2 linked regions of the Caenorhabditis elegans genome follow. The protein of the gene in region 1 purifies or fractionates together with the protein of each later gene. This does not show direct contact. Each region holds a gene or a part of one and is shown on either strand. Other genes may lie near its edges.

Region 1 (6,180 bases):
TCTCTGCAAACAAATCAATATTTTAATTTCGATGAAATACAAAATGTCTCACTTGAAAATGATTTCCGTCACTCGGAATCTCACAATCTTCCCTGGATCCATATACAGTTTTGCTGGTGGTTCTCCATCTTCCTGTGCATATTCCCAATACCAAACTTGCCCTTCTTCTTCGAAAACATGAGGTTCTGGAAGCTTTTCCGCCGGTACAAAAATGTCTTCGAAGAATTGAATTGTTAGACAAAGACCTTGTCGTGATGAACCAATCACTTTGGCCTCAATAACTTCATCGACAAATGGCCGAAAAACGATCATACGGAACTGAAGATTTATTTCATTTCTCAAATACGACTGTACATTGATTTATTACCTTAACTCTCGCTCTACAATCTCCTTCGCCGGGTAAAATGTACGAATCACCAATTTCATTTATATCATAGACACAAATACAGAGACCAAGATCCGGAATAATTTTGTTGGCGAGACGTTCATTGAGCCGTTTTTTGATAACAATTTGCTGATCAGAGCTCAATTGATGAGGCTGAATAGCCACCGTATCGTGCAGTAGAGAAAGAATGAACATACTGTAAATATTAAACATTTTCCTTTTATACGGCATCAGTATCAGCAGATATTGAATGGAAGCTTGAACTATATTCTCAGAACCAAATATAATGAAATAAAAATAATAAAAAAGAAAATTTATAAGTAATTGTTTAAAAAAGTACGATGGGATTGCTACTTATAAATTAGACCACACAATGTCAGACATTGGATAGATTAACAAAAATTATTCTTCAACAAAAAATCAAACAACAAGATATTTTTCATAAATTTTCCTAGCGGCGAAATTGTTTCCTGATGTTCGGTAGATTAAAGCCAGGTTGTGAGCAGCCATCTTTCTCAGGTCATATCTGAAATTTTAATAGTATTTCTACAGACAGAAATTTCTAATTTATTTTTAAAATTGTCTTACTTCATTGCTGGAATAATAACCTCATTGCCATCTTCATCAAAATCAAACACACACGGCGGATCAACCTCCAATACTTTATCATAAAAATGTTTGGCGAGAGGGAGAATCGACATTTGATGGAACATTCTGGCAATGTTATAAAAGACTTCTTGTTGGCAAGCCCGTGCTTTTGAATACTTCTTCATAAAAGCAATTCCTCGGATTCCGATGAGGTGTCTACTTGAGAGATCCTTCTTACAAGACATATGAGTGAAAGTGAGAGCAAGCAGCATACAGATGAGTGGATTTCGTTTATTGGCTACCCATACTCGAAGATACTCTCCCATTGCATGTCGGTATGTTCCCGTGATAAGTGAATTATTGCCTGAAATCGCTTGAAGAGCATGATTATCTTTAGCTTTGACGAGTGCTCTCATGATAAATCGATGGTAGCAGACATTCTGAGAGTTGACGAATACGTAGTTCATTGCATTGAAAAGGCGTTTTTGGAGAACGTCAGAGAATGAGCCATTTTGAGGATCGCTGACTGCCTGGAAATTTAAATTACTTAAATGCGTCCAATAAGATACAAATTGTTACCAAAGAAAAAGTGTGAAAGAATCTAACATATTCAAATGCCAAATTCCAACATCTTGCTTTGATTGCACAAAAATATACTAAATTCTGGAAAGTGGAGATTCTGAAAATTTTGTAATGTGTGGAAAATTTTGAACAAATTAGCTCACTTGTCGGCTTTGAAAAGAGTTGGATGTAAAAATGCATAACAACAGACAATGAGTGCGTCTTGATGTTTCTCCATTTTATTTAAACATTCGATTAACTTCAAACAGTAGTCATGTATCTGAAAATTAAAAATTTACACAATCAAATGTATGCTCGAATAATGATTACATCTGTTCCCGAAAGCGATGTTTGAAAAGTCCCATTGGCTTCTACAGTTGCTCCCAGCCTTTTGACAAGGCGTTCCCAATTTGTATGTTTAACAACTCCAAAAGCACAAGTTTTCAAAGTATTACTGAGAGCAGGTGCTGGAAATTCGTATTGAAGACAATTAAAATGTTATTTCACTTACTAGTCGTTTTTCCTTTGGTAACCCGTCGTTTCTTCAAAATATCTGGAGAAATATAGACTTTGTAGAAGTGGGGAGCCAGCATCATTCTCGTGATCCTTACAAACTGCTCAGAATCTCCTGCTTCGAATAAAACGTCTGCTCGACGAGCAAGAAGACGTTCATCTGGCATCGATGAGCAGTTTTCCAGGTCATAATTTTCCAAGGTTTCGAGGGCTTTTTCGAAAAACCCAGATTTTTGCTGGAGAGTTGACAAATGGATACGATTATCAATATGATCCGGTTGTAGTATCAGAACTTTATTGAATGCTTCCATTGCTAGATCATCATGCTTCTGCATCATTTCAAGACTTCCTTTCAGATACCAGTAAGCACCAGATGCTTCGTTGTTGTAACAAGGATTTTTGGTCAATTGATCCAGGAAGTTCTAAAAAAAACTGTATTTTGTTATTACATAATATTTCTCACCATTGCAAGTTTCGGATGTCCTCTGTTCTTGTAAAGCCTTGGCACATCTAGAATAAATCCTTCATCTTCTTCTACATTGAAATTTCTTTTCAATAATTTATGTTCCAACACGGAAGACTGTTCGACTTCATCCAAACTGAAGAGACAAATGACGAGATGGCAGTGCATACTGACTGGAAACAGATTGACATCAATATCATAATCGATATCGCTTCCGACAGGTGGAAAAGGCAAACATTCATATGTTCCATTTGTGTAAGTTATCTGAAATAATTTTATAAATTATTATAAACAACACAGTGATAGACTTTATGAACAACTTACAAGGCATGCGGGATCCTTTGTTGTAGAACGAATTGCTTTGACACCATTGCACATTGCCAGAATTGACATTCCAGCTTGTCGGAATTTGCTCTTTGCTAAATACATTCCAATGAGAGTTTCATGTTGTGGTTCTGCATCTCGTTCGAATTCTTTACTCCGGAGAACAAATGCTTCGAGAGATTGAATTGCTTTCTCTTCATCATTCATTGTAATGTAGTACTGAGCGACTTTGCGAATCAAATCATGAAACCACTCAAAATCCACTTGTAAAATTTCATTGTTGATCAATTGAGCAGCTTGTAGACGAGTACGCATTGCGAGAGGTCGTAGGTTCAGCCGATCAAGCATTTCAATTCTTTTTTCGTAAAACTTCCAATTCTCATTATTGAGATGAATAGCTCTATCGTAACAAACGGCAGCTTCTTCAATCATTCCGAATTTTTCAGCTTCATCTCCCCAATGTACCCAGTCATCTGGTGGAGTCTTCGGATCTAGATGCGATGCCAGTAAACCAAATTGAAGAGCTTTTTGATGATCTCCTAACTGTTCATATACAGTGGCTATCTGTTGATAAGCAATCGCATGTTTATGATCCTGTTTAATTACTTCTCGAAGAATTTCCATGGCATCGGTGATATTTCCACGAGCAGCTAACACGTTTGCCTGACCCAACATAGCATCCAATCTTTTCAATTTTCCTCGATCTCGAGGTTCTGCATTTGTGGCTGGAGTTTCTGTACTTGTAGAATCTGCTTTCTGGCCTTCTATTTTTACTTGTTTCAGAGGAGGAGGTTCTCTTTCTTCAGTTTCTACTTCATATTCAACTTCCATTTCATCGGAATGGTTTACCTGTCCTTCATCTTTACCAGACATCATCTGTAACCTTTCTCATTCTAGTAATATCGATAGTCTAACAATGCAAACCTGTGTCATAATATATCGAGCTTCTTCGGGAAGAGCGTCGTAGCGATCAGAAGGTCCTGCAGACTGAAAAGAGTATGAACTTCCAGCATGTTGAGAAGTTGACACTTCTTCAACGTCTTCCATTAACTCTACATCTTCATCGTCCTCTTCTTCATCATCATCTGCAGTATCAATTTCTTCGACTTCGTCGACCACATTGTTTCTTGCCGATCTTTTTTGCTTTGCTCCTAACTCTTCCTTGAGAGTTTGTCCTCCAGTAACCCGCATAAATTGATCATAGTCATATTCATTTCTCATGAATCTATTGATAGCGTTCACTAATTCTTCATCATCAATGGCTTCAGCTGGCTCTTCTACTCTTTTTCTATTCCCGGACCCATTGTGTAATCCAGTAAGATGAGGTTTTGTATCAATTCCAGCAATAATTCCATTTGTATCATCATCATCATCAAAATCGTATTCTTCTACTTCAGGAACATCAGAACCTTGTTCTAAAATATTACCGTACTCTTCTTCTTCCTCTATTAAGAAATCGGAAGTTGATGGTTGATTTGGATCCATGTTTCTTCAAGCAATAATACTATGAAAAAGAAGTTTGTGATCTGTTTTAAAATAAAAAGAAGCGATCGGTACGCGATGAAAATTTGAATTTCGACCATTAACTCTAACATTCATGTTTTATAAAAAAAAAATTGAAAAATGTAGAAATAACAAGTGTAACAACGTTGTACAAAAAATGGATAAAAACGAATAAAATTCAACAAAATGTACCAAATATTTCAACAAAAAAAACAAATCAATTGTACTCCATAGGAAGTCGATTTGGTCCGGAGAAGGGCTCGAATGGGTCGAAGGTATCGATATTCTGATGGGTGCGGTTCTGATATCCACCTCTTCGGCTTCCTCCGTGGAAATTTCCGCCGCGTCCACGCTTGAAACCACCGTCTTGACCTCCATCTTGTCCTGGTCTTTTCTGAAATCATTTATTTTGAATCTGAATAAATATTGAACCACTAACTCTGAAGATATTATGATTCGAGCCTCCTCCACCTCGATTGGCGCCTCCGCGATGAAAGCCTCTACCACCACGTCCTCTACCGCCGCCTCCGAATCTTTGATTTCCTACACCTCCGTATTTGGTTTGAATCTCAGCAAGTTCTTCCATAGACAATAACTGCATACTTTCAATAAATTCGTCCTTCATAGTAATTACTAATTTTGGAAAATCTGCAACGACTCGAGTTCTTGTCATTTCAAGAATGGTGCTATCAGTAATAATTCCGTAGTATCGTTCTGGATTTGCGTGAACTTCCATATAAACGTTGACATCGTCAATTCCGCGATCAATAAACGGCTTGAGCTTCTCAACGTCGAGGTCGCTTTCAGAGACAATGCATCCATATTGGCGGGGTTTGAAGAATTGCTTCAAAACTGTTGCTACTCGAATTGTTTCAGGAATATTGTTAACTATCTTTTCGAATACTTCTATACCTCCGTCCGCGGTTTGTTTTTTGAATGATAGTTTCAAAGTCCAAAAAATAGTATCAGAATGTTGCTCGTGTCTGCTCTCATTTTCTTGTTCGCCAACAAATCCTAACCAAATATGACGGAATCGAGCCGCGTTGAGAAGATATCTCTCGGTGGGAGAGTTGGTCTAAATTTCGATATTTATGAAGCTGACAGATACTACTACTTACTGTATATCGAAGTGCATTCGGATCAACTGGTTTCTCTTCTCCATCCGAACTATTCACATCATTACCGACACCACCAACTGGTTCAGCTCCTAACCCAACTTTCTCTTTCATCAGGTGCATGAATTTCTGATCATCAATTGACTTTTGTGGATCATATTGAGACAATTTATCTACCTTGGTAAACGCTTGCCGTACTCCATCACACTGAATAGTCAAATAAAATTGCTTTTTTCAAACGTGAACAACTTTACATTATTATCCGCTTTGTGCTTCTTTGAACAATCCAGTGAACATGTCCGCATTTCACATCTTGGGCATTTGTACTTGTGCTCGTTTTTCAAACAAACTTTACATAATTTTGGATCAATAGCGGGGATTACAGATTCCTCGTTTTCCACATTCTTTTGATTTTCAATTTTCCTCTTGTAGGCTTTGATAACGTCTTCAGGAGATTTTTCGTCTTCCGATGAGGGATAATTCACCAAAACTGAAAATTGTTTTTGTTTAAATTGATATCAAACTTGAAACTAACATTCAGAAGTTATATTTGGAATTTCCGTTGGTACATCATCATCATCGTCCAGTATTTCTCCGTCTTCCTGATAGTCTTCTACTTCTTTTGGTTCAGGAGTATGGCTCGTAGTCATATTACTGAAAATTCAATTACTCTTGCGACATTCGAAGTTTATTTAAATCGCAAGTAATAAAAGCCTATTTTTAGTTTA
Region 2 (5,033 bases), on another chromosome or scaffold:
GGGTAGATTTACGGCGCGTTGCGTGTCGCGTCGCGGCTCGATTTTAGTTGTAAAACTAAATGTATTTGTCCGTGTGGAGTACACGACTTTCCCAGTCCGGCAGGCGATTGTCAATGGAGCGCGAAAAATTCAATGAGGAAGGCAATAACCCCGTAGTACTCTAATTAAGTGTCCCGTTTTTACGAAATTTTTATAAAAATTGGTTTTTTTTGTTTTTAGAGAAAATTATGAATATATTTTCTTGTTTTTCTAATCAACAAAAGCGAAATTTAATGTAAAATTACACGGGGTTCTGGCCTTCCTCGTTGAATTTTTCGCGCTCCATTGACAATCGCCCGCCGGACTGGGAAAGTCGTGTACTCCACGCGGACAAATACATTTAGTTTTACAACTAAAACCGAGCCGCGACGCGCCGTAAATCTACTCCAGATATGGCCGAACCAAAATGGCCTAGTTCGGCAAAAACTCTTCCATTTCAAATTATGAGTCCCCATCATGCCTAAGAACCCTCTATTTAGGTTACTGACACATCTGAAACCGGTGCTACAGTACCCTGCGTGGTGGGACCCGAAAATTTGAAATTTGGCAGAAAATGGGCAAGATGGGAGTCATTTTGAAGCTGAGAATGAGGAGAATGTGAATTTTAGAGTAATTTAGAGAAAAAAGTGAAATTGGGGAAAAAAAAACAATTTTTTTGGAAATTTTTTCATTTCAAAAATGTTCTTTAAATTGTCGTTAAATTCGAATTTCTCGATTTTCAGCTGTAAAATGACCCCCATCATGCCTGGGAATGCTTCAATTTCACACATTTCCCCATTGACACAGCTGAAACCGGTGCCACAGTACCCCGCGTGGTGGAAAAAAAACCCGAAACTTTCAAAAGAAATCCCTGATTTGTTTTACACTGAAAAATTGTTGAATTATCACGGGAACACAAAATTCAGAGAATGCGTATTGCGCAACAAATTTGACGCGCAAAATTATTAATATCTCGTAGCGAAAACTACAGTAATTTAAAGAATTTAAAGAATTACTGTAGTTTTCGCTGCGAGATATTTTGCGCGCCAAATATGTTGCGCAATACGGGCTCTCTGAATTCTGTGTTCCAGTAATTTTTACTTATAATTATTTTCCATAGACCAGTAAAACATTTACTGATTAAAAAAGCTCTCGACACAACTGTCACTAAATAATTCATTTTTTTAAAAGAAATTTAATGTTTTTTAGTGTTCAAATCATCCAATTTGTGATTTATTATCTGCTCCATGAGTTCCTGAGACCGATCTACCATCTGGCGGTGTACTTCTAACCGGAAAAGTCGATAATGTGGATGCTACGACACGCTCCCGAATTTATGTCTTTTTTTTCGTTTTTCTTTAAAAATAATACTCAATTTTCTTGAAACATTTTCATCGAAAATGTTTTTTTTTTCAATTTTTTTGTAAGTTTTTCATTTTCCCACTCAATTTGTACTGAATTCGATTCAATTCCAGCGGAAATTAATTTAAATTCAGCTCTTGGCAATGTGCCAAGAAGCTGGTGGCCTAGAACTCGAAATACTGGCCTAGGATTCATGCGGGATTTCGGAGTGTCGTTGCACCGATTTTTTCAAAATTAATTTTCGTTTTGCCGCGAAAAACGAGAATTATTTGGTTTTTAAAACGTTTTTTAACGATATTTTTCGATTATTTTCATATTTTTCAGGGTTTAAACTGGAAAATGTGGTTAATGTAAACTGGTTAATGTTGTAAATCCTTGAAAAAACCTAAACCAGTAATTTTCTCAATTTTTAATTCAATTCAGGATGCTACAGTTTACGGAGATCCTCGGAAGAGTTGATCATCAAGGATTCGCACAATTGCTTGCTAATCCGATTTTCCAAACCAACCGTGTCGGCCAAGAGGTTTGTAAATAATGTTTAAAATGTTAAAAACACCGAAAAATTCCCTTTTTCCAGAACTCGCAGCAATTCACAGTCCGAAATGGCGTCGAGCAGGAGCTTTGCGGTATTTTAGGCGGTTCAGAAGGCGACTGGACACGTCAGACGCACTCAGTTCAGAAGCAGATGATGTTTGGGGAGCGTGGCATCGAACTTCCGAGCCGCCAGCCGAAAAGTCACACCGCCGAGGATACTCTCACTGATGAAGGTGTCGTGGACGTGCCTGAAGCTGTAATGGATGATATTGACGAGGAAGAAGTACTTAATCACGGCCTCCTTGAGTGTTCATAATTATTGGAGCGAGCTCGCGTGGCACCTCACGAACTCCAGAATTTGCGGGAGTTCGTTCCGCGGGAACAGCAGTTTTTTGTTATTTTTGGCTTCTATAGGAAATATTTTTGATTTTTTGTTTTATAATATTCTTGAGAAACATCATCCGAATTGAAAATGTGTAAAATTATGAAATTGGCCGAAAACTGGAAGTTTTACAGAAGAAAGCCACTATAGTTTTTGAAAAAATGTATCAGGATCGCCAGTTTTGCGATTTATGCGTCGTAAAATATGTCATTTTGTAGAGAATTAAAAGTTTCATAAAAATTTTCGTTTGAAATTTTAATTCGTTAATTTCTAATAAAAAAATATTCAAAAAATCAACAATTTTACGTTAAAATCTTATTTCTTCAATTTTTAAGTTTTCAATAAAAACAATTTTAAATTTTCAAACAAAAATTCTTATGAAACTTTTAATTCTCTACAAAATGACATATTTTACGACACATAAATCGCAAAACTGGTCCTGATACATTTTTTTAAAAACTGTAGTGGCTTCCTTCTGTAAAACTTTCAGTTTTCGGCCAAATTTTATAATTTTACACATTTTCAATTCGGATGATGCTTCTCAAGAATATTATAAAACAAAAAATCAAAGATATTTCCTATAGAAGTCAAAAATAAAAAAAACTGCTGTTCCCGCGGAACGTGTTCCCGCGAATTCTGGAGTTCGTGAGGTGCCGCGCGAGCGCGCTCTAATAATTATGAACACTCCAGGTGGCCGTGATTAATTAATAATTTATCATGAAAACAACGTTTTAATCTTTAAATTTTCCAGCTCGACGAGGACATTTCTCGTGTTAAAGTGGAGACGGATCGAGCATTCTTCAACCACATGCTTCTTTCGAGACCTGCCGCAGTTCCCATGAATCCAGCACAGGCTATGGAACGAGATGTTCGTTAAAATCCCTTGCGCGGCACACCTCACGAACTCCAGAATTCGAGGGAATTCGTTTCGCGCGCACTTCTATAGATATTATTTTCTATTTTTTTGATTTATAATGTTGTTGAGAAGCATTTTTCCGAATTGAAAATGTTTAAAATTATGAAATTTGACCAAAAACTGACGGTTTTACAGAAGGCTTTCTTTAAAATGTATCAGAACCGTCAGTTTTTTGATTTCAAAGTCGTAAAATATTTAATTTTGTAGATAAAAGTCTGTTTCACAAAAATCCACGTTTGAAAATTTAAAATTGAAAATTGTTTTTATTAAAAACTGAAAAGTCTAGAAAAAATAAGATTTTAACGTAAAATTGTTGTTTTTTTGAGTATTTTTATATTAAATTAAAGGTGGAGCACCAAAAATTTAGACTTTGCTTTTTTGGACCCAAAATGTTCCAAAACTACCAAATTTCGTAATGAGACGTTCTGAAAATTTCTCAACAAAAAAAAGTTACGACCGCTCAAAGTTTTGGAAGAAATGGTCTATTTTCAGCTAAAATCTCAAATTTGTCAGCTTTTCAGTGCTGCATCGGTTGGTACTCAATTTTTATTTGACTAGCACTCTTTAATACATATTATGGTAGTTTATTACGCGTTTTTTCGTTGATTTGAGCCCATTTTGGGTTGATGGGTGCACAAAATTGTATTATATTTGTGCACCCATCGACCGAAAATGGGCTTAAATCAACGAATAAACGCGTAATAAACTACCATAATATGTATTAAAGAGTGCTAATCAAATAAAATTAAGTTCCAACCGCTGCAACACTGAAAAGCTGCTAATATTTGAGATTTTAGCTAAAAATCTACCATTTTTTCCAAAACTTTGAACGGACATAACTTTTTTGTTGAGAAATTTTCAGAACGCCTCACCACGAAATTCGGTAGTTTTGGAACATTTTAGGTCTAAAAAAGCAAAGTCTCAAATTTCGGTACTCCACCTTTAATTTCTAATATAAAAATATTCAAAAAATCAACAATTTTACTTTAAAATCGTTTTTTTTTATAAAAGATTTTCAGTTTTTAATAAAAACAATTTTAAATTTTCAAACGTCGATTTTTGTAAAATACTCTTTTCTCTCTACAAAATGACATATTTTACGACTACGAAATCGAAAAACTGACGGTTCTGATAGATTTTGAAGTAAAACCTTCAGTTTTCGGTCAAATTTCATAATTTTACACATTTTCAATTCGTATGATGCTTCTCAACAATATTATAAATCAAAAAATTCAAAAAAGAATTTCTATAGAAGCCGGAAATAGCCAAAAACTGCTGTCCCCGCGCGAATCGAATTCCCGCGAATTCTGGAGTTCGTGAGGTGTCGTGCTCGAATAATTATGAACACTCCGGGAGACCATGGAAAACAGGGGGTTCTGGCCTTCCTCATAGAATTTTTCGCGCTCCATTGACAATCGCCTTGGGAAAGTCGTGTACTCCACACGGACAAATACATTTAGTTTTACAACAAAAATCGAGCCGCGACGCGACACGCAACGCACCGTAAATCTACCCCCAGATATGACCTGGCCTAGTTCGGCAAAAACTCTTCCATTTCAATTTATGAGCGGAACCAGAGTTCCGTGCTCGTTTATAATGATTTTTATGCCGAAACACGGAATTCTAGCTTCCCTCATATATTGAAATGGAAGAGTTTTTGCCGAACTAGGTCAGGCCATATCTGGCGTAGATTTACGGTGCGTTGCGTGTCGCGTCGCGGCTCGTTGTAAAACGAAATGTATTTGTCCGTGTGGAGTACACGACTTTCCCAAGGCGATTGTTAATGGAGCGCGAAAAATTCTATGAGGAAGTCCAGAACCC

The links.
Region 2: the proteins of tftc-3 (region 1) and npp-13 purify together in Caenorhabditis elegans (affinity purification with western blotting, with the first as the bait; one study listed by BioGRID). This does not show direct contact.

What each region holds. Positions count from the first base shown.
Region 1 is NC_003283.11:10,206,022-10,212,201, forward strand, and holds tftc-3 (TPR_REGION domain-containing protein), read right to left. Parts: upstream 4,324-6,180; 5' UTR 4,320-4,323; coding exon 3,759-4,319; intron 3,711-3,758; coding exon 2,835-3,710; intron 2,775-2,834; coding exon 2,511-2,774; intron 2,470-2,510; coding exon 2,046-2,469; intron 2,002-2,045; coding exon 1,865-2,001; intron 1,815-1,864; coding exon 1,699-1,814; intron 1,653-1,698; coding exon 1,553-1,652; intron 1,504-1,552; coding exon 974-1,503; intron 912-973; coding exon 806-911; 3' UTR 695-805; downstream 1-694. Other genes in the region: rpc-25 (DNA-directed RNA polymerase III subunit RPC8), read right to left, coding at 1-3, 53-318, 368-580; zhit-3 (Box C/D snoRNA protein 1), read right to left, coding at 4,555-4,731, 4,777-5,412, 5,456-5,659, 5,707-5,942, 5,988-6,102.
Region 2 is NC_003279.8:2,095,543-2,100,575, forward strand, and holds the start of npp-13 (Nuclear pore protein), read left to right. Parts: upstream 1-1,803; 5' UTR 1,804-1,804; coding exon 1,805-1,903; intron 1,904-1,957; coding exon 1,958-2,197; intron 2,198-3,047; coding exon 3,048-3,164; intron 3,165-5,033.